Linked DNA regions of Schizosaccharomyces pombe. The protein of the gene in region 1 interacts with the protein of each later gene in a pairwise test. Each region holds a gene or a part of one and is shown in the gene's direction. Other genes may lie near its edges.

What was found.
Region 2: the proteins of mmi1 (region 1) and pla1 interact in binary tests that used the Schizosaccharomyces pombe proteins (3 or more experiments, as listed by UniProt).
Region 3: the proteins of mmi1 (region 1) and pab2 interact in binary tests that used the Schizosaccharomyces pombe proteins (3 or more experiments, as listed by UniProt).
Region 4: the proteins of mmi1 (region 1) and red1 interact in binary tests that used the Schizosaccharomyces pombe proteins (3 or more experiments, as listed by UniProt).

The regions. Positions count from the first base shown.
Region 1 is NC_003421.2:336,588-344,561, reverse strand, and holds mmi1 (YTH family RNA-binding protein Mmi1), read left to right. Parts: upstream 1-4,449; 5' UTR 4,450-4,994; coding exon 4,995-5,079; exon of another isoform or gene 5,080-5,207; coding exon 5,208-6,167; exon of another isoform or gene 6,168-6,214; coding exon 6,215-6,330; intron 6,331-6,383; coding exon 6,384-6,532; exon of another isoform or gene 6,533-6,576; coding exon 6,577-6,733; 3' UTR 6,734-7,474; downstream 7,475-7,974. Other genes in the region: TOG/XMAP215 microtubule plus end tracking polymerase Dis1, read right to left, coding at 1-1,210, 1,478-1,528; SPOM_SPCC736.13 (dehydrogenase), read left to right, coding at 2,774-3,793; ago1 (argonaute), read right to left, coding at 7,550-7,974. UniProt on the Schizosaccharomyces pombe protein: RNA-binding protein that recognizes and binds N6-methyladenosine (m6A)-containing RNAs, a modification present at internal sites of mRNAs and some non-coding RNAs.
Region 2 is NC_003423.3:925,166-932,398, forward strand, and holds pla1 (mRNA cleavage and polyadenylation specificity factor poly(A) polymerase Pla1), read left to right. Parts: upstream 1-3,719; 5' UTR 3,720-3,823; coding exon 3,824-5,279; intron 5,280-5,322; coding exon 5,323-5,440; intron 5,441-5,479; coding exon 5,480-5,573; intron 5,574-5,614; coding exon 5,615-5,647; 3' UTR 5,648-5,881; downstream 5,882-7,233. Other genes in the region: protein Cwf11, read left to right, coding at 1-1,414; gta1 (glutamyl-tRNA amidotransferase alpha subunit), read left to right, coding at 1,685-1,931, 1,978-2,803, 2,851-3,193; squalene synthase Erg9, read right to left, coding at 5,895-7,233. UniProt on the Schizosaccharomyces pombe protein: Polymerase that creates the 3'-poly(A) tail of mRNA's. May acquire specificity through interaction with a cleavage and polyadenylation factor (CF I).
Region 3 is NC_003423.3:1,937,599-1,944,083, reverse strand, and holds pab2 (poly(A)-binding protein Pab2), read left to right. Parts: upstream 1-3,295; 5' UTR 3,296-3,327; coding exon 3,328-3,363; exon of another isoform or gene 3,364-3,414; coding exon 3,415-3,668; exon of another isoform or gene 3,669-3,723; coding exon 3,724-3,811; exon of another isoform or gene 3,812-3,867; coding exon 3,868-3,990; 3' UTR 3,991-4,713; downstream 4,714-6,485. Other genes in the region: serine/threonine protein kinase Ksp1, read right to left, coding at 1-857; HECT-type ubiquitin-protein ligase Pub3, read left to right, coding at 5,605-5,783, 6,126-6,485.
Region 4 is NC_003424.3:5,069,140-5,077,178, reverse strand, and holds red1 (protein Red1), read left to right. Parts: upstream 1-3,280; 5' UTR 3,281-3,306; coding exon 3,307-3,451; exon of another isoform or gene 3,452-3,729; coding exon 3,730-3,790; intron 3,791-3,990; coding exon 3,991-5,717; intron 5,718-5,761; coding exon 5,762-5,967; 3' UTR 5,968-6,248; downstream 6,249-8,039. Other genes in the region: protein mcp3, read left to right, coding at 1-2,043; ASTRA-associated protein 1 Asa1, read right to left, coding at 6,377-7,483; serine protease Psp3, read right to left, coding at 7,984-8,039. UniProt on the Schizosaccharomyces pombe protein: Promotes the exosome-mediated degradation of mRNAs containing a DSR (determinant of selective removal) signal sequence from mitotic cells.

The DNA.
Region 1 (7,974 bases):
CCGCATCCAGCAAAGAGTGCACCAAACTCGATTTTCTCTCTTTAAACCTATCAAATAAAGAAGGCAATACAATACCAGTATACGGAAGAAAGCCCTTCCTTAGCGCCTTGGCAATATGCGTCAATAATAAAGCCGCTACACCCACTACCACCACGTTTGCATCTTTTAGAGACTTTGCAATCACTCGAAGTAACTCACTATAGTCACCCTCTTGATAAACAGGATTGGAACACACCGGTACCATGCTTTCCAACGCTTCCTTTCGATCTTTCCACTTGGGAGAAGATAATGCGGTATGGAATTCTGGGGTTAGTTTGGAAAGAACATCAACGGGCGTACTTCCGACAATGTTTTTGGCAGGAGATACAATGGAACGGGAAGGAGATGCTGAAAAATCAGAAGGTTGTGAGACCTTTCGGTTAGGAGTACTGAAACTAGAAGTAGAGCGTTGCAGAGTGTTTCCCTGCGAAGATGACTTTGAGGACAAATGTGGTTTGGGTTTGGCATTCGATGAAAAAGAAGGAAGAACCACCTCTTGGGTGTTGAGGGAATTTGAAATATGTCCTCCCGTGGTCGTGCGAGATGTAACATTTTGAAAAGAGGCCTCAAGATCGGAGACCTGTATTTGCTTTAGTTGAGGAAACACATGAGTCTTGAATGCATTACCAACCCAAGCGTACAAGGTTATGGATAGATTCGAAGCTTCTTGCCTGATATTCTTATCTGATTGGGCGAACAAAGTAGGAATCAGTTTATAGAATGGAATAGGAGAAAGTGCAGGGATTCCAAAATTCTCCAATAAACTATTTAATTCTTTTATAGAAGCAACTGCCTGCTTGGGATGCTTAACGCGAGCCGCCGAAAATAACCCTTCTAATACATAGTCCAGCGCATCGGATTTAGCTAAAATGAGTAAAGCCTGGTGAGAAGCATCACGGATAGATTGTCTAGGAGATGGTAAACATTTTTCGAGTAGAGGAGCAACAACGAACGATTTGGCAGAATTAACTCCTTTTTGCCTAGACTTGTCTAAAAAGCATCGCAGAGATTTTACGGCATGCTCTTGTGTTGGTACGTTACTATCACACAGCCCTTGTTTCCATAATGCTGGGTCATGAATCCAAGGCTGGAAACAAACGTCTGAATCATCCAATGCTCGGTTCAATGCATGCAACAAAGACTCATATGCTTCAAATCGAACTTTCCAAGACTAAATAAATCAGTTAGAAACCTAAAAACTTAAAATAACCCACTACAGAAGTGAGATCCATCAATACTAGGGAGAACAGGTATGAAAAGAGTAGTGACGGAAACACAAAGCAATGAGTAAAACTAATTGAAATCGTAAAATACAATGGAATTGATCAACAGTGCCCTTAATGCCGTTGCAACGATATTTCCATTTGTTTGCTTTTCATTCCAGTTACATTTTTCTGGACAGCAAGCTTCTATCTCCATTAATTTGTAAAAAGCTTACCTTATCAAAAATTTGACTGAGAATGCGGCTATTAAAATCGTCCAACTCCATTTACATAAACAAATATAAATTAACGACTCGTATGTTTACAACCAGCAGAGCATGAATAGTTATGTAAAAGAATGAATTTTATAGACAAATAGAAAAATGAAAACGAATGAAACGGACGGGATTCTAAACAGTAATGAGTATGGCTCTGAAATTGGAGTTGTACATGTGTAAATAGAGACGACTAACTTTACGGACGACAATGTTTCACTCACACAGCCAGCACCGTAGAGTTAGCACAATTCGTTAGACCATCGTATTGTTGAATATGAACGAGCGCAAGATTACACTATTAGAGCAAAATGTAAATAAAGCAGAGAAAAAGAGGAAACCATCAATAATTTTAAGTTTTTAGAGTAATTTAATTCTTTAAATAAATAACTTTATCTTAAACCGTACCAAAATGATGCTAACAGAAGATGAGCACCCAAATGGAATGTTCACCGATATATTAAGCCTTATGCAAGTTGCTTTTTGAAACCGATTAATGTGCTATTGGGTGGCTCTGTAAGATGCTTGTGATCTAGTATAAGTGAAAAAATGAATTTCTAAGACTCTTACTGAATAAAACATGACGTTTAACTCGTTTAAAGAAGGGAATCCTATAGATTGCAGATTTTTAAGTTTTCGTTTCTATTCATACCTAAGTCTAATTTTATCTTTCATTTGCCCAATCTGAATTCGAGTTCTTCAATTACAATAAGTTCAAGTTATACATTTTTAAAAGGATTCCAATATTCTGTCGAGCACCCAATTCATACATTCAATTCTAAACAATCCATATTTCGTTTTGTAAGCCAAGTAGTCAAAAGTAGCTAGTCGATGTAATACCATGCTTGATCAAATTTTCGGTCCGCAAAGAAGCCGTGTTACGCCTTGAGTTTCTTGGATTTTGAAGAAATTTGTCAGCGGTCATTGTATAAATTACGAATTGCTTCCTCTTCCGCTATCGTCACTCTTTGCAACTTATCATCTGCAGCCACCCTTACCCATATTCAACATATTCGACGAGAACGATATTTAAGTGTTTTCTAGAACTTAAGAACGCTTATTAAAAGAAAATTGTTGATTTATTCTTGAATCTGTTCCAAACTTGATCGATTGATTTCATAATCGCTACAGTTTCGAGTTAAAGACATTGGTAATAAGTTTGTTCTCTGGCCACTTCTTTGCAATAAAATCCTCCCCGCTCATTGTTTATAAAGTTCTTTTTTTTTAATTGATATTAGCTTCAAAAATTTCTTTACGATGTCCTACAGTTTTCAGGGATTGCTCAACCGCGTGAATGAGAGCGCAATTGTAAATACTCTCAAAGAGTACACCGGTCTCAATACACCCAAATGGACCTTTAACGATATTCCCGATCTTACGGGTAAAGTCGCTCTTGTCACAGGATCTTCAGGTGGCATTGGTTATGTAACTGCCCTCGAGTTGGCTAGAAAAGGCGCAAAGGTCTATCTGGCTGGTAGGAACGAGGAAAAGTATCAAAAAGTTATGAAACAGATCCACGATGAAGTTAGACATTCCAAGATCCGTTTTCTTCGTTTGGATTTGTTAGACTTCGAAAGCGTGTACCAAGCAGCTGAGTCTTTCATTGCCAAAGAAGAGAAATTACACATATTGGTCAATAATGCTGGTATCATGAACCCTCCCTTTGAATTGACTAAAGATGGTTATGAACTTCAGATTCAAACCAACTACCTTTCACATTACTTGTTCACTGAGCTCTTGCTCCCCACACTCCGTCGTACTGCAGAAGAATGTCGACCTGGCGATGTTAGAATAGTTCACGTCGCAAGCATTGCATATTTGCAGGCCCCTTATTCTGGTATCTACTTCCCTGACCTAAATCTCCCGCATGTACTTTTGGGTACTTTTGCTCGTTATGGACAATCTAAGTATGCCCAGATCCTTTATTCCATTGCTTTAGCCAAACGTTTAGAAAAATATGGAATATATTCCGTTAGTCTACACCCAGGTGTTATCCGTACCGAGCTGACTCGTTACTCACCTACCTTTGCTCTCAAATTGTTAGAGAAATCAGTCTTCCAGTATTTACTTTTGGATCCAATCAGAGGCGCCATGACTTCCTTATATGCTGCAACCAGTCCCGAGATTTCCAAAGAGCACTTGAACGGCGCTTACTTCACTGCAATTGCTCAGCGTGGTATTCTTCATCGCGCTCATGATGATGCCTTTGTTGAGGAGCTTTATCGCTATACTCATAAGATATTTGAAGATCTCAAGTATTTAGCTCCTTCTCCATAATTCTTTTGCTCGTAATCTGAACAATGATGAACGCTTCTTGAACCACTTAAACTAGTAAAGTGTTTCTACCTCCTCATATATTTTTAGTTGTCTTATGTTGGAATCCCTTTATGATTACTTTATATTAGTAATAATATTATACAATTTCGTATTGCTTAAGAACCACAAACAGCATTTCGACTTTGTCGCTACATCGCTTCTTCCCTGGTAACAGTAGGTTTGATCTCTTACTTTTCTGTCTGTCAAAGCATTGGTATTGTGTATTAGCCATTTTATCCACACTTTAGTCGACTGTATTTTAATTTACAAATCAAATATTTACTTTATAATGTTGATGGTAAATATGGAAACGACTAGTCGACATTTGACCATTCACTATTTACACTCAGAGCAATTTTTTGTTTTTTTAATCTTAAAAAAGAATCTTTCTTTTGAGTATCTCTCTGTGCCACGGGGCATTTTTTGAATCTGCCGAACAAATTTGTAAGAAATGTGAATTTACAAGGAATACTTATTAAAAAGTAAAACTCTTTTAAAATAGAAATTTTTTTATTTACTCAGTAATTGATGGTTTTCATATTCATTTGTTTTATCAAAGTACTTCGTATTCGTTATTACCCGTAATCAAATTACTCTCTCACGATTATCTGCACCTTGCCTTCTTCCAGAAATCCAACACTAAGGAGGCTACTAGTAAACCCTATAATAAAGTGTTTTATTAAACATTCAAACATTATTTTGAAAGTTGACGGGAAATAGCTAACTTTTGAAGAAAGTGAAAAGCTATAATTGGTGATTTTTGGGCTAAACATATTTTTTTTTCTTTTTTTTGGGGCTTGGTCTTCACTTGACTTACCGCTATTCTTTCAAGAGTATATCTATCTTGCTAGTTCTTGCTTTTTTATTTCTCTACTCGGCAAGACTTTTAAAGTAAACGATAGTGGTTGATATAAATTCAGTTAGTGTATTGACCAGCAATTTTGTTTTTTGGGGGGTTTTTTTGGTTCTCTCTTTATTTTTTTTTGTAAAAAAAATATAAAGCAAGGGATTTTGGTGAATATTTATTAACTTAATTTAATATTTATCACAATCTTCTGGCTTCAACTCATTTTCCGTTACTCAATTTACAAATTTTTAGCATTTTAAAGAGGATTTCAAAAAAAAAAGATTATACTTTTTATCACACATAAAAGAAATTTGAATGTCAAACACAAACTTCTCTACTTCTAGGTCATCAAAGTCCATTCCGGAACTTCCAAATTTGGAAGCTCTGCGAAGCCTGTGGCGTAAGTAGATTATTGTTTAAAATATCAGAGAGGAATGTAAAATAGTGTCATTGAAAATTGACTGACTTTTCGCCTAAAACCTCCTACTGTTTAATTTTGTCGAGAATTTTACTAACCACCTTATATAGCTCCACCGTCATTGAACGAATCGGGCGATACTAGAAGCGTATGGACTACTCATACCGGAGAGCCTGTTGCGTCAAGTGTTCTATCTACTTCAGGTTCAAACAACTTTTCTTCACCTCTGAAAAGACCTGCACCAGAGTCACATGACGCTCCTATCGGTAGAAGATTGATGGTAGATGATCCCCGCTTAATTAAACATGGTAAATATGATTTTAGCAGGCATTGCACTGACTATGGTCACTCCTACGAATGGCCTTATTTTCGATCCCTTCGTCGTGAGTCTATGCTTTATCACACTTCGGGATCTTATCCAGAAAGTCAGCCTCCTTACTCTTCTTATTCAACTGATGCTCCACATTATTATCATGCAGGTTCGGAATCCTCTGCTTACTATGATAGCCGTTCTCGTTTGCATGGCATACAACCTCCTCCCAAGCGACGCACACTTAGTCCTCCCCCTAGACGGCTTGCGGACCCAGTGGTTGTTGGAAGTTCTCGTTATGTTGAAGAAGAAGTATACAGAAGGCCTCCTTACACTTTAGCTTCTGAAGTTCCTTCATCCGCTTCAGCATACCAAGCTGGTTACTCTTCCTATCCTGTTCGATCTTCCCCCCAACTTTCTCATGAAGACACTCGTCATGGTATTGCAAGCAGTGGTTCAACAAGGTATCCTTTTGTACCTGCTAATACTCGTGCATCTCACTCCCCTAGTTTGCTTGAACCTTATGCTCACTCCCTTCCCTCTTCGGTCGCGCCAGTTGGAGCTTATCCTGAGAAATCTTCTTACCTGCTTTCTAATTCCAGCAATGATAGTGCCTCAAGAAAAGAAAAACCCAAAGCTCGTGCATCTACGCCTCCTCCATTAAATTTTTCCAGAGCAAGCGAACATAGAAATGAGAAGGGGGAACGCATTTCGATGATTAATCCCCGAGTTGTTCTTGACGAAAATGGAATTTCACACCGTAAGGCTTAGCCCATTAAACCAAAACAAATAATTCTAACAACTTAGGCTCCCGTTATTTTATTATGCTATGTGACAACGAGACTGCCATTGCTCATGCTAAAAAAACTTCTATTTGGGCAGTCAAGAAAGATTCTTCCAAAAGAATTTCTGATGCATATAAGGTTTGTCTTTTATTTCCCTTAAACGATATAGTTTTATACTAACACTTTAACAGAAAGCCAGTGTTTATTTTATTTTTGTGGCTCAGCAAACGTACAATGCTTTAGGATATGCTCAGGTAGTCAGCGACCTAAATAGCACCGAACTGCCCTTTTGGTCAGATAGCTCGCATGCTGGAGGTGTTCGCATCAAGTGGATTAAAACGTAAGTGTTGTACTTTTGAAGATTTCTTCTGCTTACCTAACTAGTTGCAATCTGTTTTCTGCTGAAATTTCTGAAATTGTTAGCCACATGGATCATGGGTCTGAAGCTAGAGATGGCATGGAAATGATGTATGATGAAGGCAGCAGACTTTGTACGTTGATTAACTATGCTATAATGAAGCGAATTGGAAGAGACCGTTGATATCTCCCTTTTGCTGGATTTTCAAGAATGTTGGATGCTTCCTTTAACAAAATTCATGAAACTATATACTATTGGAGCGGATTGATGTTAAATGCAGTGGATTTGCTTAATAAAGCATTCCGTATAGGTCGCTCATCAACATTAAAGATTTAACATTATTAAAAAGTTTTTCTGAACAATAAAAAAAATGCACACTATAATGGTGTTAATTTTCAATCTTGGAGCAAATCAGTTAAGTAAAATTATCATTATTGACTTGTTTTTGCTCCTCTAAACGAAATCTTAACACAGTATGCAATGTTTGGTTCTTGAACTTAACCCAAATACTCTAAAAAATTAGAAATTCTGATTCTCTTCAAACAGGCTGTTTTCAAATTTGAATGATTTTGCTTTGAATGATGTTTTTTCTTAATAAAAAAGCTAGATGAATCTGAATTAGACAAATAGGTAAATTGGTTGTTCAACCATTGTGCATGGAATTTATCGATTTTAATCACTTCTTCTGAGATCCTTAAGTATCATTTAGTTTATCTGTATTTCTATATTGGCGTGACACTTACATAAAGTTCGGGCTTTGGGTTAAGTGAATGTCATTAGTATTATCGTTATCAACATTTGTTGATCGTTGGAACATGGTCAAGCTATCAACAGTGGATAGAGCATAAAAAAACTAACATTAAATGATTAAAGAAAATTACAATAATATAAAGCAAAATAAAAACAGAAGCAGATTTAATAAGGAAGTAAAAGTTGTGGGCAATCCAGTAGTCAATCGTATATCTATTTCATTACTTATTGCATGCAATCCATCAAACATTACATATACCACATCTTTGTTTTCAATTTACTTGATAGAGCTAAAAGCGGCTTTACTTCTTGATCCATTGATGCTTCTGATGTCTCAACAAAAGTATCATCGGCTGTCACGTCTTGATAACGGGCTAAGTTACTAACCAAATGCGCATAATAAACAGGTGGAACCAAGGAAACAGCACTTGTTGCTCTTGCATAAACATAACAAAGATTATAACACAGTGTTTGGAATTGGTCCGGTGGCATCTGAATTTCGTCGTGCAAAACCGTGTAGTGAACTGGGACCGAAACGCCTTGCAGAGATGGGTGGGATATAAGGTAAAAATCGTACTGATAGGGGTGAGTAACATGCTTTTCAATAATTGTACCAGGGAGGGGATTTCCATTTCTATCTCCGTCGGATTTGTTCTTAATGAAGAAACGAGCGT
Region 2 (7,233 bases), on another chromosome or scaffold:
GGAACGTTATGGTACTTTATCGTCTTGGATATCTAAGCTTCCTGGTCTTCTACGAGAAATCGGTCGCCTAGCTGCTTCAATCCAGGCTCCAGGTTCTCATGACGCCAGCCCAGATACGGCTTTGTATTTTAGGGATGCTTATATTAAGCGACTTTGGGAAAAGTACTTGAACACGGTAGATGATAAGGATTCTGTGGATGCCTATAACAGGTTCCCTTTCCATTCGTATTTCGGTGACAAATCTAAGCGTCCGATAGAAACGTATAATAAAGATAATTTTTTCGATTATGCGACAAAGTTATACGGGGAGTTAGAATATATGTTCCAACAGCTGGAAGAGATCCGGCCTTTTGGATTACTGAGATATTATGAAGATCAAGAATTGTATGCATTATGCCAACAATCTAGGATTATCGGATGCACTTGGACGAGCTTAAGTACACGCTTAGGGACTTTGAAAGAAAAGGGATTTTGCTTTAACAATTTAATTGTTATGAACTCACAAAATATAAGTGAAAGCTCTATCACTAGCATACTACTTTCAAACTGTGAACCAACTGGTTTTGATCGCCTTGTTCTTCTGGGTAATCAATATCTTACCTCTGGGAATCAGGATATAAATAATACGTCAAATGGTTCACTTTTCAAACGTTTGCGGTATTTGAAATCCAGAATTATTGACCTTAATACGCAATACAATGTTAGAGAATCTATCAGTTCTCTATGTTCATCAATTTATCCTTTGGACATCAAAACTGTGGATTCTAGTCCCAATAAAAGACTTGATTATGGTAATTCGGGGTTTGCACATGAGGTCCAATTTATTAATGTGGGAGCTTTTAAAGGTTCTCAAGAAACAGAACCCGTTAGCGGTTATAAGCAAAATCTTGGAGAAGCCGAGTACGCAGTTGCCTTATTCCAGTACATGCGAATGTTAGGTTATCCCACCAACGAAATTGTAATCTGTACGCTTTATGAGAGTCAAGTCAGCCTTTTAAATGAAATTATATCGGTACGCTGTTCTCATAACTCGTTTTTTGGTCAGCCTGCTTTTGTAGGTACCGTGGAAAAATTACCAAGCGATAAACGGGTAAACTTTGTTATATTTACGACAGTTGAATCTAAAGAGGCCTCTGATCATTGGAATCCAAAAACATTTTATAAAGCCTTTTCAGCATGCTCATATGGTCTGTACGTATTGTGCAACCGTGACCTTTTTCGCTCTACACGTGGTCTTGAAAAACTGTGGAATGAAATTGAAAAGACTCCTGACAAGCTGCTTTTAACCACGGGAGAAATATATCCAAGTTCTCACAAAATCGGATCTTCCGTTGAAACATTTGAAATTGAAAATTTACTTCATCTCTCAAACTATGTTGTTGAAATGACTAAAAAAAGGTTAAATACGAATTAAAATAAAAACCTACTTCATATAGACTATTTGCTTGTTGTATTGAATTAATGATTATTTGTAAGATTAAAGTCATTTTATTTCATTGCTTTTTTGCATAATTAACTTATTTAAAAAACTAAATAGTGAGCTTTACAAACAATAAAAAGTTGATCCCCTCAGAAAAAGTCTTAGGTGTCATACCGATAATAGCTCACTACTTTATTCAACTATACAACAAGTTGGGTAATACATTATTTGCACGAAGTTAACGTCCAATGATTGATTGGTCGAATGAGTAATAAATATAACAATTTATTAAAAGAAGTTGCAGCTAAATATGCTAGTATCATTCTAAATGATGCGAAAATTAAGTCTTTAACTTCAATAAATAGTGCCGAATATCTATATGATTCATTTGTTGAAATTAGTAAATTACCACTGGAAAAGAAGCTTCCGTTAAAATGGAAACTGATTACAGTAAAGGAAAATATTTGCACGAAGACAAATTTAACCACGGCAGCCTCTAATATGTTGAAGGGTAGACAATAAGAATATATTTCAGTTACTAATTGCGGTTTAACTAGACTACAATTCTCCGTTTGATGCGTCAATTGTCGAAAGCTTGAAGAAAGCCGGCGGTATTATTCTTGGTAAAACAAATATGGATGAGTTTGCAATGGGAGTCAAGAGCGAAAACAATCTTTTTGGTCGCACTGTTAATCCTGTTGTTAAGGATAGTAATTACGATGTTGGGGGCAGCTCGGGAGGAGCTGCTGCTGCAATCGCGGCGGATATATGTTATGCATCAGTTGGTTCAGACACAGGAGGATCAATCCGTCTACCTGCTGCTTACGTAGGTTGTGTAGGTTTTAAACCATCTTTCGGCAGGATTTCGAGATATGGAATGCTTGCCTTTGCCAATAGTTTTGACACAGTGGGTATCGCTGCAAATAATGTTAAGGGCGTTACCAAAGTATTTAATGTTTTAGACCATCCCGACATAAATGACTCAACCTGTTTAACTAAAGAAGCTCGTTATTTTGTTAAAGAGCAGCACAAAAAATTATCGCGGAAGCCAATTAAAATAGGAATTCCAATTGACTGGAATGTTTCTGAGACTCATCCAAACGTTTTAGATAAGTGGAATGAATTCATATCTCTTCTGAAATCAAATGGTTATCTTGTCCAAGAAATACAGCTTCCAATTTCATTATACGCTAACAGTGTATATTCCACAATGGCTTATGCAGAAGCGACTTCAAATTTGGCTAAATATAATACTATCGCATTTGGCAATTGTTTAGATGAAAAGTTCGAAGAGGAAATAATTTCATCTACTGCACGCTCTTTTTTTTTAGGAGACGAAGTGAAAAAGAGGCTACTGCTAGGCGCTTATTCACTAGCAAGAATGTATGATATAACTGATTTACTAAGTAGTTACTAATATTTACAAATAGGAATTCCTCTGATTTGTTTTCTAAGGCTCGATACGTTCGCCGAGCCATACAGCTGGAATTCAACAAAAACTTTTTTCTACCTTCCTTTTCTGTCGATGATCCCAGGGGTGACATCGATTTCATAGTTACCCCTTCTTTTTTTAATTCCAGTCAACCCATTGAAACCCCGTCCTCTTATAGTCATCTTTCAGATACTATGTTAGTTCCAGCGAATATGGCTGGAATACCATCCGTTAGCATACCTTTCGGTACTTTGAACAATGGGCTTCCAATGGGAATTCAAATTATGGCCCAATATCTTAATGACGAAGATTTGTTGTCTTTTGCAGGCCAGTTTGCATAGATTTCGGCTGCTTATCTAAACTCTCGAAACATGGCTATGATAATCTTTATGAGCATAATAATTCTTTACTGTTTGGAATCAATTTCATACATTGAAACTTGTTTGCAAAGAGTTTTGGAGAACTTGTCATCAATAATTCGACAGTTTCCCTACAACTGCGGTAAATCCAATAAATAGATGTGGATTCTGAATCATTTACACTTCTCAGCAACATAAATTATTTTTACATTTCAAGTCGCTAGTTTATTCAACCAAAAAAAATGCATATCTGAAGGATGGAATTTAACGGGTAAGCTTTTAAATACAAAACCAGGAGCAATCGGTTTGTCAGATAATGAACATAGTGCACTGTCAAGATATATATGATAAACAGCAACAATTGTATAATTTACCAGATAAATTAAATTTGATTTAATCGAAATAAATGTCTCAGTGCAACTGTAAATGAATTTTTTGACATTATAATAAGATAACGCACTTTGTGAAATTGCGTATTTATGCCTTAAATCCTAAACGAATGCTAACCAGATCTACACATTTAGCATTAGTACGCTTTAAACCAGTTGTTTTTAAAGGTTAGGATAATTTAAAACAGCTACCTTTCAAGACTCCAATTTTTGTTTTCAAAGCATGACTACCAAGCAATGGGGTATTACACCGCCAATTAGTACTGCACCTGCTACTGAACAGGAAAATGCTTTGAATACGGCTTTAATTAATGAGTTGAAGAACCAAAACTTGTTTGAATCTCCTGCCGAATCTGAAAAAAGAGTAAAGGTTCTTGATGAGTTGCAACAAATAACGACAGAATTTGTAAAGAAAGTATCACTTGCCAAACATATGAACGAAAAGATGGCTAATGAGGCAGGGGGGAAAATTTTTACGTACGGAAGTTATAGACTGGGCGTTTATGGACCTGGATCAGACATAGATACCCTAGTCGTTGTACCCAAGCATGTTTCTCGCGACAATTTCTTTCAGGACTTGGAACCTATGCTTCGAGAAAGAGAAGAGGTAACTGACCTTGCTGCTGTACCTGACGCCTATGTTCCTATTATTAAGTTTAAATTTTTGGGAATAAGTATAGATTTAATTTTTGCTCGTCTTTCAGTTCCGCGTGTTCCCCGCGACCTCGAATTGTCTGATAATAACTTATTAAAGGGTGTTGAAGAAAGATGTGTGCTAAGTTTGAATGGTACACGTGTTACGGATCAGATTCTGCAGCTTGTCCCTAATCGTGCTGTTTTTAAGCATGCTTTAAGAGCCATAAAGTTTTGGGCTCAACGTCGTGCAATATACGCTAATGTCGTAGGATTTCCTGGAGGAGTCGCCTGGGCCATGATGGTAGCTCGAATTTGCCAACTATATCCGAATGCAGTATCTTCTGTGATTGTTGCTAAATTTTTTCGTATTCTTCATCAATGGAATTGGCCTCAACCAATATTGTTAAAGCCCATTGAAGATGGCCCCTTACAAGTACGTATCTGGAATCCAAAACTTTATCCATCCGACAAAGCTCACCGTATGCCAATTATAACCCCGGCTTATCCATCAATGTGTGCAACTCATAACATTACTTTATCCACCCAAACAATTATCCTTCGCGAAATGGTTCGGGCTGGAGAAATTGCTGACCAAATAATGGTCAAGGCTCTTCCCTGGTCAGCTTTGTTTCAAAAACACGACTTTTTTCATCGTTATAAGCATTATCTTACGATCACAGCAGCTGCTAAGACAGCTGAAGCTCAATTGAAGTGGGCAGGTTTGGTTGAATCTAAGCTTCGTCATTTGGTTACTAGACTGGAGCTTGTTGATGCTATTGCTTTGGCACATCCTTTCAATAAAGGATTTGATAAAGTGTATAATTGCTCCAGTGAAGAAGAAGCTCAACAAGTAGCTAGCGGCGTTACTCTTGAAGTCGCATATGAATCTACGGATCATGAAAAATTAGCCAACGATACAGTTAATGAAGAGAAAGCCGACAATACTGAGAGTAAAGCTGATGGTTCTGAAAATGGTGAAAAACAAATTTTTCCTGTTTACACTACAACATGTTATATAGGGCTTGAACTTGAAAAGAAGAAAGGCAAGATACTACATTTTGAAATTAATTATGCTAACTTTATTAGGTCATCCAATTAAAAGACTTGATATTTCTTGGCCTACCCAAGAATTTTACGAGTTGTGCAAAAAATGGGATAAATATGATGACACCTTAATGAACGTTTTCATTAAGAATACTAAAAAGTAAGTCATTTTATATATATACACTCTCACACATTTTAGTACTGCTTTACCTGATGAAGTTTTCGAACCTGGAGAAGAACGGCCGAAAGCTACTAAGAAGAGGTCCACTGCTGACACTGCACATAGTACAGAGGTAAGAATTCCGATTTAGCTATCCATTCTAACGATCTTTAGCAATTAAAACGACAAAAAGTTTCAACGGCATAAATACCCACACATAAGACTCAAACCGTTGCTTGCTTAACACTCACGAGTATATCTCATCATTCATTGTGGTCTTATCTTACAACCTATATTAATTGTAGTCACTATCTGTAGACAGGATCAAAAATCAAGTTCTAAATTGTCTTCTGTTTAGCAAAACAGCTTTCAATTTTCATAGAGTAATTAAGGAAATAAACTGCTTGTATATTATCGATATTGAACCAGTATTTAAGTTTTTTAAATTTACGGACTAAAACAAATTAAGCTCTTTGAAGTCTGACCAATGTATTCTAATATTGAACACATAGAAAATGACAGCAAGGCATACAAGGATTATAAAAAATACAAAAAGAATGCTAATGCCTAGTTTCTGTAAATCCTTTCGATACAATTCCTTTTGCTCGTCATTTAAAATTGCCTTCTGAGTTCCGTTTCCCTTCTTTTGTTCAGACAACTTACTAACATAGGCCTTTTCGTACATCTCACGGAAGCGCCGTGGAAATAAGCTTTCAGATACTTGCTCAATCTTTCCACATTCAATTGAAATCTTCAAAAAGTTGGGATCTTTAGGAGTGTTCTTATAATGAATATCACGGGTGTAACGAAGGAATAAATCACAAACATTCTTCAAGTTTACAGAATGTAGAATAATCTGGACAGCCTGACCCTTCCTTATCTTAACATTAGTTTGAAAAACATCCGGGTTTCTGAAAACTGCAGCTAATGTGGCAATTGCCATTACTTGTGGAATAGCACAGAAATTAAATATTTCCTGAGTCTTCAATTGAGAAAGATAAACGAGAGCATCAGTAGCATGTGTTAAAGCATTAGCAGTCATATCAGATAAACATTCAAGAGCTTTTTCAGAGTTGTCAGGAAGACAGAGATCACCGAAACTGGAAGTATACTTGGACCAAATTTCACGAGGCCAGAAATGACGATTATCATCAAAATCCTCACGATAATCACGAATGATGTTAACTTTTTGTAAAAAGAGTCCAAGAGAATTGGAAATAGCTTGACTATGAGCTAAATCCGGATCTTCTAGCTTAGATTGAGCAAACAAACGAGATAGTCCAATTCCCACCAATCCGGCAACATAATGACAATATTTGTTAAAGTCTTCTATAGTTTCTACAGAGAATCCGTCATTTTTTTCGGCAAGAGAGGCATAATAAGCCATACCATCACCCATTTCCTTAGTAATGTTCGAAATAACATTACGATAACCCTCTGACAGGTTAAGATATTCTTTTATAACCACGTCGAATTCTACGAGAAGCTGACGATCCTTTTCGTTAGGACCAGATTCATTAAACGTCCACCCTTCGACTTCAATTGTTTTATAAAAATCTCTTAGGATTGGAAGCTTTTTATCCAAAGGCAACGTCATGTCATCCTCTACTGTATCCAGTCCACGAAGGACAAGATAAAAAATCATAACAGCCTCTCTAATACCATTTGGCAATTCTTTAATAACGACTGCAAAGGATCTCGAGGTCATATCGAGTAATTGGTAACAACGGCGGATGTTTTGAGGCACATTTTCGTCTTCTCCATAAGAAGGAAGGTCATTCCAAAGCTTGTAC
Region 3 (6,485 bases), on another chromosome or scaffold:
AATTCCTCATCATCTGTCGTCCACTTGGTAACCGCGAGTACGGCTTCCCTCGTTTTGGCGAGAGAACGTTTCTCTGGACTCACACAAAGGCATGCTCGCAAGACGTTATATGTATCTTGACTCAACGTAGGGAAAACGTCAAATAAGGTCATTGCGTCCAACATGTAATCAGCAAATATAGGATCCTTTTCGTGTGGATAGGTAAAAGGATTACGTGCAAAAATTAAGTTTAAAAGGCAAATACCAAGAGCCCATATATCCGCTGCACGAGGGCTGTAACCAGCACCATCAACTTCCTCAAACTGTTCAGGAGCCATGTAACGGTCACTGCCAGTTCCAAAGTCATAAGATATTTTGTCCCTGCAAGCAAGTCCAAAATCACTGATCTTGACCACAAGCTCAGATCCATCTTCTGAAAGAGAAAGAAGAAAGTTTTCTGGCTTTAAGTCACGATGGTAGATACCATGAGAATGCAAATGTGCAACACCATCAATGATTTGAAGAAAAATATTCTTAATCATTTCAGGTTGGTTCTTTGCATTTGGAAAATCATTATTCAAGATGCACTCGTATAAATCACCAAGAGGGCAATATTCGAGCACGACATAATAGTATACATTGTCTTCAAAAGATTCAACGAAATGAATGATGTTGCGGTGTCGAGACCGCGATAGCTGGCGCAAGATATTGACTTCTTGCAAAAAGGTATAAGCAGGTTTTTTGATGCACTTAATGGCATACTTCAAATCCTTGCAACGGGGAGTCCGAAAAAGACGATGGGCTAATACTACAGTGCCATACGATCCCTTATTCAGAGGGCGCTCAACTTTATAACCTTTCTTTTGAAGCAGCTTCATAATCACACACACTTTCGATTCCGAACTTTTCTTCTTTAATCAAAGTTTGAGAGGTCGAGCAGATGATAACTTAATGTCGGTCGAATGATACCTAAAATTCACAGTTTTCTTAAATTCTCCTTTAATAGACTCAAACAGGTCGTTCTTTGAAAGTTGAACAAATAATATAGATATGAATATAAATACAGAAATATATATATACTCTATTTGTTCTTCACAGTACACACCTGGGGAAGAAGAGGAAAGATAGTAAGAAAACAAAAACAAATTCCAGTAAACACTCAATCTCTAGAAAGCCAACACCTGTACAAGAAACAGGTTTCAAAAAGAGATTGGCGGAATACTTCGGCAACGAAATAACCTAGTAGAGGGAAGAAAAGTCGGCCTGGCTGTTCGAAGAGGATGGCGGGTATGAAAACAGTGGTTTCGCGTTGAATACTTTGGGAGAATTAGAATTTCGTAGCAATTCACTTAGATCGTGTGTGTATTAATATTTTGTTAAGCAAATTTTCTCATGTTGAACCCAGAAATGTAGCAGAAAACAGAACCTTGGTTGGTTGTTGTTGGTAGAGGGTAAAGTTATCCGCCCCCCCTGAGGAGTTCTTTTTAGTGCTGATGTTCCTTTGATTGCGATAGAGAATTTAACGAAATTTAGTGGAATATAGCACAATTATGTCGAGATAGTAGATGAGTTGGTAAGGAAGATTCGTGATCAATTTATCCCGTTCTGACTTCTTCTTCCTTATTCTATGATAACGTGACTGTGTAGTGCATTATTTCTCCTTAAACTTGTGCGTGATAAATAAATAAATATAAAATAGAACAAGTCGTATATACTAATTTATAGACACATATGCTATCGTCTACAATCTATTTTCATTTTTACTAATTGTTTTAATTATTTTTTCTCATCTTATTGAATTCTTTTCTCGTTTCTATCTTCGTTTCACCGATCGTTTTAGATGCACAAGTAACCACTGTTAACTAGAATAGCAAAGTAGATAGATGAACGATGGAAAATGTTCGATAATGAGAAAGATATAAGCCTCGAATATGAACTAATTATTTCGTACATTTTAATGAAATGATCTTAAAATTGCCTAACAATTTGCTTTTTGTTTGATCATTATGTTGCTTGGTTTAAGGAAGCTGCCATAGCAATTAAATATCAAGAGATATATAGGCCCTTGAATAGAAGTACGAGATTGGAAGGGATCATAGAAGCTTCCTTTGAGTTAAAACTCTGATTTATTAATTTTCTCCGCTTCGGTATGTGAATCGTCAACGGTGTCTAGAAGGTAATCAATGGTAGACTGCTACCGGATAAATAAATAGTGAAGTATCTGTAGTATTGGTTCTACAATTCGCATATGAAACGAAATATACCGTTACTTGATGCTTTATTATTATTTGTTTTATTCTAGTATTAGTTAAGCTGGGAACGGCTTGCTGTGGTTGATAGATAAACATTGTTGGGAAATTTCCATTTTATTAAATTATTAGTATCCCCAGGCAAAAAAAAAAAAAAATTGGTTTATTTAGACTTGGACTCTTTTTACATTTAAAGCGTAGAAACAAAAGAAGAAGAAAAAAACAATTAATATAAACGATAGCATTACGTTAGATGGGTTGCTGAACAAAAAAAAAAAAACACAAAAAACTACAAAATAAAGTAAAAAAAGAAATAATGGTAAAAATCAGAAAAAATAAATTAATTTATATAAAAATACGGAATATTATTAAAGAAATCAATTAAAAAACAGGAAGTTATTTTAAATAGACTTCCATTCAAAAATATCCCTTTTCTATATTTTTGTAATTCATCACCCTTGGCTATCGAGCTAATGAAGATAATACCAACCCTGGATACGTATATCAATGGTGAAGAGTGTGTAATAATTGAGTTCGAAGTTCCATGAAAGAACTACATTATGCCATACTTTATCACGTCTTATCGTATTTCTTTAGGATTCCACTTATTTCACTTCAAGTGGGAGAGCTCTTCAAGCAACTTAGGTATTCGTTACGTCCAAAAACTAAACATTTAACGGCATATCCCGTCAATCTCCTTAATTGTTTTTTAAAGATCGCTTTCTTATGAATTGTGATTTTAGCAATACAATAAAACCAAACACGCCATACAAAAATGTCCACAAACCTCACCTTACTTACTTGTGAGCACTCTCATCTTAACCAAGCATCCGAACTATAAGCAGGCAGTCCAAATCCTCGTTAAACACATATTGTACGTATTAACGAATACGAAAATATTACACCATATTGTGCTGTTTCATTCAGAAATCGGTTTTTCCGTCTCTAATCGTGCCATACGCTATTGTAAATTTGCGCGAAACAAAGCGTCGCTACTCTGAGAGCATAGAGGGAAACTTTTGTCACCCTCAACATGCTAAAGAATACTGGTTGAACAGTTTACTTCCAACCACACGCGTGTAGCAGAAAATTTGAAAAAATGAGTGATCAAGATGCCTTAGATACCCAAGAAAAGGTAGGAATTCAGACTGTGTAGTATGGTGGAATTATTTGCTTACATGATTAGGAACTATTGGAAATGAAAGAGCGAGTTGCTGAAATGGAAGCAGAGGCTGCAAAGCTTCGTGCCATGCAAGAACAACTAGATAATGAAACGGAAGCTTTGAGAAACGATAAGGAATCCATTGATGCTCAAAGTGTCTATGTTGGAAATGTTGATTACAGTGTTACTCCAGAGGAGTTGCAAAGTCATTTTGCTAGTTGTGGATCTGTTAATCGCGTTACCATTTTGTGTGACAAGTTTACGGGACATCCAAAAGGGTATGAATCGAACTTGTGGATGACGTTGGAATGTACAGCTAACCTAGTTTCGTAGATTTGCATACATCGAGTTCAGTGAACCAAGCTTAGTGCCTAATGCTCTTTTATTAAATGGATCGATGTTGCATGAACGACCTTTAAAGGTATGTAAAACAATCACAGTAACTACCAGCAACATGCATTCTAACTTGAAATGTAGGTTACACCCAAGCGGACAAACGTTCCTGGTATGAGCCGTGGTCGTGGTCGCGGACGTGGACGTGGACGGGGTCGTGGCAGAGGAGGATATCGTGGAAGAGCCCGTGGTTTCGCTCCGTATTAGGTAATCGCTTTGATGACTTGAAAAAGTGAAAAATGAATTATGAGCATTCAAATCGTCACCAATAACAGTTAGGTGGGAAAAGATTAGAAATGACATTTAACAGTATGTTGGAAATTAACTAGTATTTCTTTCAACTCATTCGTTAAATGTTTATATTCCTTGTTTATTCTTTTGTGTTGGATTACACGGGTTTCCTTTAAAGTCATGATCCCATTCACTATATTAAAACATATATGCTGACATAATGTAATTCACCGACCCTTCAATTCCTCTTGGGTATGGACTAGTTGATTGCATTTTTGTGTTTACAATGCCAGCTTCATAAAATTTTGTTGTATATTGTCGTTTTTATGCTTCTGATGCACGTTCATAATCTTCAAAATTTTCTTTTTTTTGTTTTTGAAAATTTATTTGCTCAGCTTAATTTCTCGTCATAATCTTGATCCGCTTGATTAGAAAAGGGGTCAGAAAAGGAAGCTACTCTATACACCGTATCACATATTACAGTCATCTCCTTCCTTTCTTGATTAATAAAACTAAACACCTACCAATGTATAATTTCATTATATATATATTTTTGTAATGAGGAGATACTTCTCTGTGTTCACCATTACATTTTGTGTTTAATATAGTGAAACACATTAACGTTCTTCTCTTCTCCTTTGGAGAGTTTAATGCTGAGGATCTTCTTATATTTCTAATAAATTTCTTGATTCTGTTTAATGATTTTATATAGAAAATGTATGACTTTCTTTTCTAAGTCTACAAGTTCATTTTTATATGTAATAATTGTGAGGAAATTAATTTTTAGTCATCATGATGTAAAATGACATTTAACAAAAAAAGCTTGGTGTATATCTAATTAAGTAGTTTTTACATAGTCGATTTTTATGTTCATATATTGTACATGTCGAGTCAATTTCTTTTAGCTACCTGCGGCATATTCCGGATTCCAGTACAAATAATTTCCTTCCTGCCTTTTACCCAACTCGTATAGGGAAGCGATAAATAAAAGTAACAAGGATAATCAAGTCAGTCGTTTCTACGCTGTGCCACTCAGATTCGATGACCTTTGTTTACTCTTTCGATTTGCCAAATATTAGCTGAGCGGATATTCGCTGAACTTGCGAGTTACACCTATTGATCCACTATTTAGCCAACCAACAGGTATTTACACTAGGATATTCCAGAGAGCATTCGAGCATTCGAGCATTCGTCTGTCGATTTATAAAAAGAGCCAATTTAGATCGTATATCGGTTTACTACTTCTACAACGAAAAAGATAAATTGGTCGATTTCCTCAACACTCTCTTTGCCTTTTTAAATTACATATAAAGTTGCTGTTTAGCCAGCGAACGCTTAGTATCTTTAAACGCATTTCCCTAGCAAAACAAGAATATCGTTGCGTAGTGAACTACAGCGTTCTTCATACTACCACCAAACTCCCCCACCTTCCTACTGGCTCGGAACCCCCGCTTCAATATTGAAACCTTTTGTGGTATACGTATCCGCTTTTACCATTTACCACAATCGCTTACATATTGAAGGTTTCGTGAAGTTTCGCGACTTTCACCTCTCCGCTTAGAGGAATCCAAGTAATTATATGTTAAGAACATGGAACAAGGAGCGAAAAGAGTCCGGTTCTACATAGTAGCTGCTGATGGATTAAGTAAACGGGATCTTTTTCGACAGCCCGATCCCTTTGCTATTTTAACGGTAGATGGCGAGCAAACTCATACAACGAAAGTTATTAAAAAATCGGTGAACCCTTATTGGAATGAAGGATTTGAAGTGTAAGCACATGACAAATGCGGCGGATAACATGATCAATTGAAAATAAAAAAAAAAGAGATGGTAGAGATTGGACCTTGGATGTTCTTAGATTTGGATAGATATGTTTATACTCTTAGTATTCACGTTAGTTCGGAGTCTAAGCATTTCTTTGATGGTCGGATAGTTTTTGTGGCTCCATAACGAAATTTTTTTAACAATTTTCTAATAACAACATCATTTGTATATTATCATATCCTATCCTTTTTGCAAATCTTTTATTACTACTGCATCTTTTTCTTTTTTTTTTTTCAATATGTTGATTTTGCCCTTTTCTTTGTTCCGTTATACTAACTAAATTCTAGAACTGTTAAGCCATCTAGCGTTATATCCATACGCCTTTTTGATCAGAAAAAGTTCAAAAAGAAAGATCAAGGCTTCCTTGGCTTAGTATCCTTTCGTATGCGTGAAGTTGGTAGTTTTCGATCAAATCGCGAAGTGTCGCTTACTCGACCATTGAAAAAATCTTCCACCACTAATCTTTCCGTTTTGGGAAATCTCGTATTGAAGGTGGCCCCGTCTAAAATTAGGGCTCCCGCCGGAAATCACTCATCTACTACAGCCAATCGCACTACTAGTACACCTACAACCACAACTGCACGTACTACTCGTACTACTCCCCGTCCGACTGCCACAACTAATACCTCGAATCAGTCCACTTCGAA
Region 4 (8,039 bases), on another chromosome or scaffold:
GAAGACAAGTTTAACAGTGAAGCCGCGCGTCAGTTGTTGCAGAAATCTCTAAGTATAGTAGCGTCAAATTTGAAACAAGCCGAAAATAAAACTATCAGTTATGAAGAAAAGCTTTCTATAGCTCAAAATTCTATTAATGAAATTCAAACCCAAAACAGGGATTTAAAACTTGAAACCGAGAAGTTACAGGATCAAATCAAAGCGTTGCTAGAAAGAAATCAGTCATTGCAAGAAGCTCTAGAAACTGTTAAAAATGATGAAAAAAATCTGAGAGAAATGAACGCCAATTATGAAACCGAGATGAAAGAAGCGCGTCAAAAGTTAAACAACAAGGAGGCATTAATTAGTCATTATGATGATGATTTTCGAGCAAAAGAATTAAAAATTTCAAGACTTTCCGAAAGTCTTAGAGAAAAAGCAGGCTTATTGGAGTTTCAGTCTTCTGTTAGTGAACAAAGGGATCTACTTTATCAAGAACAAATACAGTCGTCAATAAAGGATATGGAGAATGTATTTCGAAAAAATGAATATCTTATGGAAGAACTTAATGAATTAAAGAACAATCTTGAAGTGGAATCAAGTAAGGTTTTGAGACTTGATGAAGAAATGAAATGCCTAAAGGATGAGCAACTCTCTCAATTTGACACGGTCTTTAGTTTGACTGATGAACGGGATGGATTACAGAAGGATTTAAAAAACACTAAGGGAAATCTTGACGATGAAATCGGGCGCTCTGCATTTTTAAAAAGCCAAATCAGGGATCAAGAGCTAACTATTGAGAAGCTCCATGACAGTTTGGAGACTTTAAGTCAAACTAACAATAGTTTACAGTGTGAGATTTCTGAAAAGAATGCAGAGTTAAATTCAGTAAACTCCAAACTTTCTGAAGGTAGAGCACACCTGGAAACCGCGAATAAGGAGAATGAGATATTGAAGCAGCAATTGGAGTTAAGTGAATCCAAATTAGCCAGTTTGTTAAACTCTTATCAATCATTTATTAATAAAAAAGAGCACCTCTATTCTTTTTTACAGCTTGTCGAGCCATCGTTCGCTAAAAGTGATTCATCTAATGCTACCGAATCCCAAATTTCCGAAAGTGTACGAAAAGGAATTTCAATATTTAATCTTTTGTTCATTGTTTACAAAAACGTATGCTCTCAAGCTGGAATTAATCCATCTACAAAGCTTGAAGATCTTGATGAACATACACTTTCTGATGAGCTGACTTATATAACAAAAAAGTTTGTACAAAAGGATCAAGAATACCAAACGAAGGAAATCGAGTTAAGGAATTATAAAATTACTCTTCAGTCGTTACTTGAAGATAAGCTTATCGGTGTAAATACTGATTGCAGATCACCTTCTTGTTCAGACTTTGAGCAACTAGGGCAAGAAAGCGAAAATAATACTTCTATCTCAGGAAGGGTTAGTAAATTAGTCAAAAGCTTTAATGATTCATCTTCTATTTCCAACAACACAAAAATCTCAATCACTAAGTCCCCATCTGGTGAGAAAGTTTCCGTATTTAAAGAGATGTCAGACATAGCTCTGCGCGATATGGATAAAAACAGAAAATTATTGGGAGAAAATGTTGACGTGAGAAATATTGTTGTCCAAAAGGATGAGTCATTGAACATTGACTTACAGAATAATGCTGTAGTACCTGAACTGCACTTCAAGGAGGGGATGGTATACGATTCATTGGAAAATGCGTATACTTATTTGGCCGAATCCAAACGCATGTTAGCAAATGAACTTCAGATGAAGCAAGAAGATCTTGAAAAAGTTATTTTAGAACTTGAAGCTTACAAGGAAATCTTCTTAGAAGAAAAACAAATTCCTTGTGAGGAGTTTATGCCAGGTAAGAACGCAAAATCCGAAAAGTCACTGCGGTCAGTTTTTCAAGAGCAGTTGATGAGAGAAACAAAGCGAGTTCGAAAATTGGAAAAAGTAAACTCTGAATTGAAATTGCATTGCTTTGAACTTTCTGAACGATTGAGGGAGCGCGAGCATACACTACAGCAAACATTTGGAGACAAATAGTATGTTCGCAAGTAGTAACAGATCAAAGGTACTAGCCTCATTGAGATTACCAATAAATAATCTATGAATACGGTCTTTCGTTTTAAATGCTTGAAGGCCGCCTGTTAGCCTCAAATGATAACTTGACCGGTCTTAAAATTTCGAGGTTTATGGGGGAATTTCAATAATAAATAATAACAAAATCTAGCATTTTTGTTAGGTGATTACATGAAAGCGTTTTGATCTTAAATCATTTCTTCAAGCTCCTGAAAGGCTAAATTTTTCATGTAACGGATTAAACAGACTAAATTCAGATTAATAACTTAAGCAACGGAAGAGTATGTTATAAAACTGCACGATTACATATTCCTCGGTCTTTAGTATTTTTGCACGATCGGCCTTGTAATCAGATACGGAACTACCTTTTCGATGAGGGTTTTTAGTAAAAAGAGCTATTACCAGTGTTACTGTCAATAGTCGGCTTTCGTGCTAAAACATCATAAACGGATACCCGAACTTTTATTGCACACGAAATTTGCATAAAGCACAATGTTTTTGTTGTTTTTAGTTTATGAACTTCAAGTTTTTAATAAAGGCCAAAGACTGTTCCAACGTTAAAACCGAACTGAGCGAAAGAATATTTCTTTTTCTCATGTGCTCATAGAAGGATATGCTAGTAGAAAACATTATCATTATTGGACAAAGGTTTAAAACACAGTTTTCTCATTTTCGCTATTTTTCTTGAACTTCTCCAGATGTTCTATGTTTCTATTTATGAGACAAGGCGGCCGCTACTAAATTACTGACTAGTCCATTAAAAGCAGATTTCCCGCTATAATTTGATAACTCAAAAATGTTATTTCACCTTCGCGTAAATTTGTGCTGTAAACTAGCAAAAGATAATTGGATGCGAAAGCTTTGAATCACCGCTACACTTTTCGTATGAGCAAGCCAATAAGGCTGAACATATTAGCTGTTCTTGTGTTACTTTTTAAAATTGTTTGAAAATATATTTGCTACATTCAGTATACCTGTTCAATAGACTAATTCCGAATGTTTTGTAAATAAAGAGTCTTAGTGCATATTTCAGACAGTTCATTAGAACAAATAAGAAAGTATTCAACCATCAATATCTTTATTAGGGAATAACATGCTCTGAGGTGAAAAAACTTTATGTGCAATAATATTTAATGTTTTTCGCGTTTCACTGTCTTAACTGGTACTACAAACAAAACATCTGCTGTTGAAATTTGGCACTACTAACCCAGTTTTAGCTGTAAATAAATGTCCCGGTCAATAAATCTCGATGAGTTGCGAAAAAAGGCTTTAGAATCAAAAAAGAAGAATGAAGAAGATGAGAGTAATGACTCTGACAAAGAAGATGGCGAAATTAGCGAAGACGATCCTGTTATAGATCAATCAAATTCAGGTAAGGTAGATTAGAGATGGAAATTTACACAAATATATTGTGAAACGAGACTTTTTGTTTTTATAGGCTTGTTCGCATTTTATTGAGTTTTCCTCGACGATTGCTTGCATTCGTTTAGAACATTTCATATCTCTATTTATATGCGTGGCTTTTTTTTTTTTAAAGAGAGAAAAATAAAGCTGGCAGAAGCCTTTTATATGTATTTGGAAATTATGTTTTGATATCCATCTTTTCAATTTTCTCACCGTTTAAATGAATTCGTTTTTTTAACAGTTTAGTTCCGCCAATGAAAGTACCAACCTTTCCTGAGCAAATTCCTCAGTTGCCTCCTTTTGATAGGTAAGCATGGCATTTGATTAAACCTGTCAGTGCAGCTTATTTATCTTTTCTACGGAGCTATTCTCCGCTAGTTATGCTGTTCTGTACGGTTTAACTCCAACTTTGGGATTACGAGAATGACAATTTGTAAAATTTCCTTTTTTTTTTTCGAACTTGAATACATTCAACCCATCAGGTGTCTTATCTAACTAACACACTAGATTTCCTGGAACTAACGCGAATTTTTTTCCATTTGGCGCACCTTTTATGCTTCCTCCAGCTTTGATGTTTGGACCAAATACAGTTCCTTTCTTTCCTCAAACCGCCTCCTCAAACAAAACCTTTTCGAAGCGCAAACGGTCATCTGAGAATTCATTCAACAACCGAAATAAGGCGAAGTCTTCTGAAACATCGGATTCTTCTAATACTTCCCAGTCATTTAAAGAAAACCGGGCTCTTAAAGATACCGCTACTAGCCGACCATTGGCTTTATCATCCGACACTTCTTATCAAAAGAGTGAAAAGGCAAAATCAGAAAAATCACCTTTTCTTTCAACATCTAAAAATTCTGATGCAAATTATTCCAAGACTACTAATCAAAAGGAAGCAGAGAAAGCTGTGAGTCAGTTGTTTGAAGTAGGAGTGCGCTTTAACGATTTTATTGCTGAGGGCATCGAGCCTTCGGTTGTTCATACTTTATTTTTAAAGCTCGGACTGGATTCCTCTTCTGCTAGCTCCCAAGGAAGTCTGACACTATCTGCAGACAAAGCTGCTAGGTCTGCTAAACTTCGTAAGATTGACAGTAATCTTAGTGACACACATATATTACCTGGCGATAATGGTACACCTACCGTCCTTCCTGAAAGAAAAAATCTTATATCTTTACCACTTTTGAAGCAGGACGATTGGCTATCTTCTTCGAAGCCTTTTGGCTCCTCGACTCCAAATGTAGTTATTGAATTTGATTCCGATGATGATGGAGATGACTTTTCGAATTCGAAGATAGAACAATCTAATTTAGAAAAGCCCCCCTCAAATAGTGAAAATGGTCTTACTATGTCTCGTTCAGATTACTTGGCGCTTCTTCGCAATAAAGAAGAGGAAATACGGCGAATGACAAAGTTGATCTTACGGCTTGAGTCTAATAAAAAACCGTATAGATCGCCAACTTCTGCCGCCGATATGAAACTTCCATCTGTCCCTGTAGCTGCGGTTGACAACAAATCTAAAACACACTTGGATACCTTTGAAAAAGTCGTTGATCTTAGTTCCAAAGCCGATTTTGTGGAGGCTGGACCTTCTATTAGCTCGTCAGGAGCCTCGTCTAGTGCTGCAACTACGAATTCTGATACAACTGAGCAGATATTAGAGGCACCTTGGCTCAGAAAGACGGAACAAATTGCTGTGGTACATGAAGAGCATCCCGCACAGATTAAAAAATCCGAGATTGACATTTTAAATAACTTAATAGAAAAAGAGGAAGGAGAACTAACAAAATATCAAACTTTGGTGAAATCAAAAACTGAGATTCTAACACAATTGTACACTAGGAAAAAACAGTTACTCGAACAACAAGGGAAAGGAAATGTTGCATGTTTACCTAAAGAATCTGATTTAAGTATGGACTCAATAACCGAGGTTTCCGCCCAAGCAGATGAGAACTCATCACAGATTTTGTCTTCCAAAACGTCAAACGCGCCAAATGGGACGACGGAAACAGATTTTGAGGATAAGGTACCGCTTGTCGATTATATCTCTCCATTTTACCGCTTTAAATCTTATCGATTTAATCAACAATTTGTTGAGCGAGTACCGTTGAAATATCGGTCGCTTACCTACAGCAATAAGATAGAGCCGATGAAAGTTTTCTGTAAATACGAAACCACTGGTGGTGTTTGTAATGATGACCATTGCGAGGCGTCGCATTTTCGCGACATTAAAATGACGGGTTATGGTATTTGTGCTGTTGATTTTTGACTAACCTTTATACAGATGATGAAATTATACAAGATTTATCAAGGTACATCGAAGGAAATGATGAAATTGAGAAAGAGTCTTATAAATCCGGTTTAGATATAGTCATGAAAAATACCGATGAGAACACCGATTTCGTCGATGTTGCTACTCGAATCGTCGAATATCATAATCTTTGGAAGTCGGAGAGAATGACAATTCCTGTTGCAAAGGTTTCCATTTAGATTGAAACTGCCAAGCAACATCAAACTAACTGTAAAAATTTTGACCGTCAAAATTACGTCCTTGTACTATAAACATCACTATACATAAACAATGGCTCTTTGCCGTTATAAAACTAATGTCACTACTTAATATAGCTCAGGTTAGAATTATGTCTTTCGTACTTTCTATGCTTGCATATGAATCGCTCATCTTATTTGAGGCGATATCAAAATACTGGAAGATTAAGCATTTACTAGTCTGATATTTAATATATTTAATATATGTAATACGTTTAAAATCATTTCAATGGTTATTGATAAAAATGCGCGTATTGTAATAAGAATGAATTGAATCCTGCAAACCAAAAGTAAATGATTTCTTGAAAATGATGATGGATTAAACGTAACTGTAATGTCCTAAACTTTTGCCCTAATACAACTTCCAGAGAGATATTCTGGTGTCTTTACTAGCTAACGCAATCACGTTGCTGCCTGGATGAAAGGCCAAACTATTAATACCATCGGAGTGATATTTCAAAACCGCTAAAGGAGCTAATGTCTGGCAGCTGTAAACACGACCTCGACCATCCCATCCTGCAGTTGCTAATATCTTGTTATCACTTCGTATACGAATATTTTGTTGTCCACAATGCTTTGTCTTTCTAAATATAGGATGAGGCAGACTACCAAGATCATCAGCTATAGATGAAGGAGTAGGATGCAGACATATACAGTCATCAGCACCCGTTGAAAATAATTTGGAACCAGCGTACTCTACCGATAAAACTGGTTGAGAATGACTTTTGTAGGCGTAAACCATCTTCCAAACAGCTTTAAAATCGAGGGTAACAGTCTTTACATTTTCTAATGAACATATGTACTGAACCACATGACCGCTTTCGTAACCGGCAGCTAATAGTACATACTTCTCGTCAGTAACGGTTACTGAGGTTGACATTACTGATCCTGTTTTACCAACAGACTCTTCTGGCTGAATTCTCGTCTGTAGTCTTTTTCCGCAATCCTCTTTGTGTGTTTGAGGATGATACAATGATTCATCATCATATACATCAAGCTCTTCAAAGTTCAATGTATTGCATAAAACTACTATTTTAGATTGAGGAGAGTAAGAGAAGGGGCAAAAGGTTAGGGAATTAACAACGATATTGGAATGAATAGATATAAATGCGCTGCTCTTCTCAGTTTCAGAAGAGGCTTCAGGACCGTAATTTTGAAGTTCAGCTAGTTTTGATAATGACATAAAATTGTCGGTCATGCAATTAAAATCGATTTTCCAAGTGACGAGACGACAGTCTCTACCGTGAGTGCATAAGGCTCCTCCCTTGACTATTTGCATGCCCAATATGGTTTTTGTATGAGCTCTCCAGGCGCATTTTGGTCGCATACTAGTAAGACACCAACAAATTACAAAACCTGCCTCATCACCAGAATATAAGTATTCATTAGCGTCAAAAAGTACACTAGTGACACTGCTAGAATGACCACGTAAAACGTAAAATGGAGTAGGAACTACCATGAAAATTTAAATTAAAGCATCCACTTTGAGCAAATATTTGTAATCATCAAGCTGAGAGGATAGGGGAACAATACAAATTGAACTGTAAAACGAATTGTTGGTGGTAAGGGAATCAATTTTAATAAGCGGTATAAGACAAAATTATAACGGTGAATCCAGAAGGCATTTTTTTTTACCAAGTGATATACCATACTTGTCAAACTACATATTTACTACTAGTACGAATGAACGATAACAATAGTGCAAAAAGTAGTAGATAAGAAAATGAAATAAAATTCTACTATACCTGACATTACAAAAAAAAATCAGTCCTAAAAGAACAAATTGGTATCGTTTTAAATGATTTCATTGCTAAACATAACAAATGTCATTACTCTGAGCTTGTTCGTCTGATGACAGTAGATATTCAACAACTTGGTTAATTGATCATTCGTATCGGAGCATCAAAAAATAAACAATCAAGGTCATCAAGCTAACATTTACATACACATAACTAGCGTTTACTCATAATTGTTGAAGGCAAGGACATTAGGTGTGTCCTCAGGAATGCCATTTA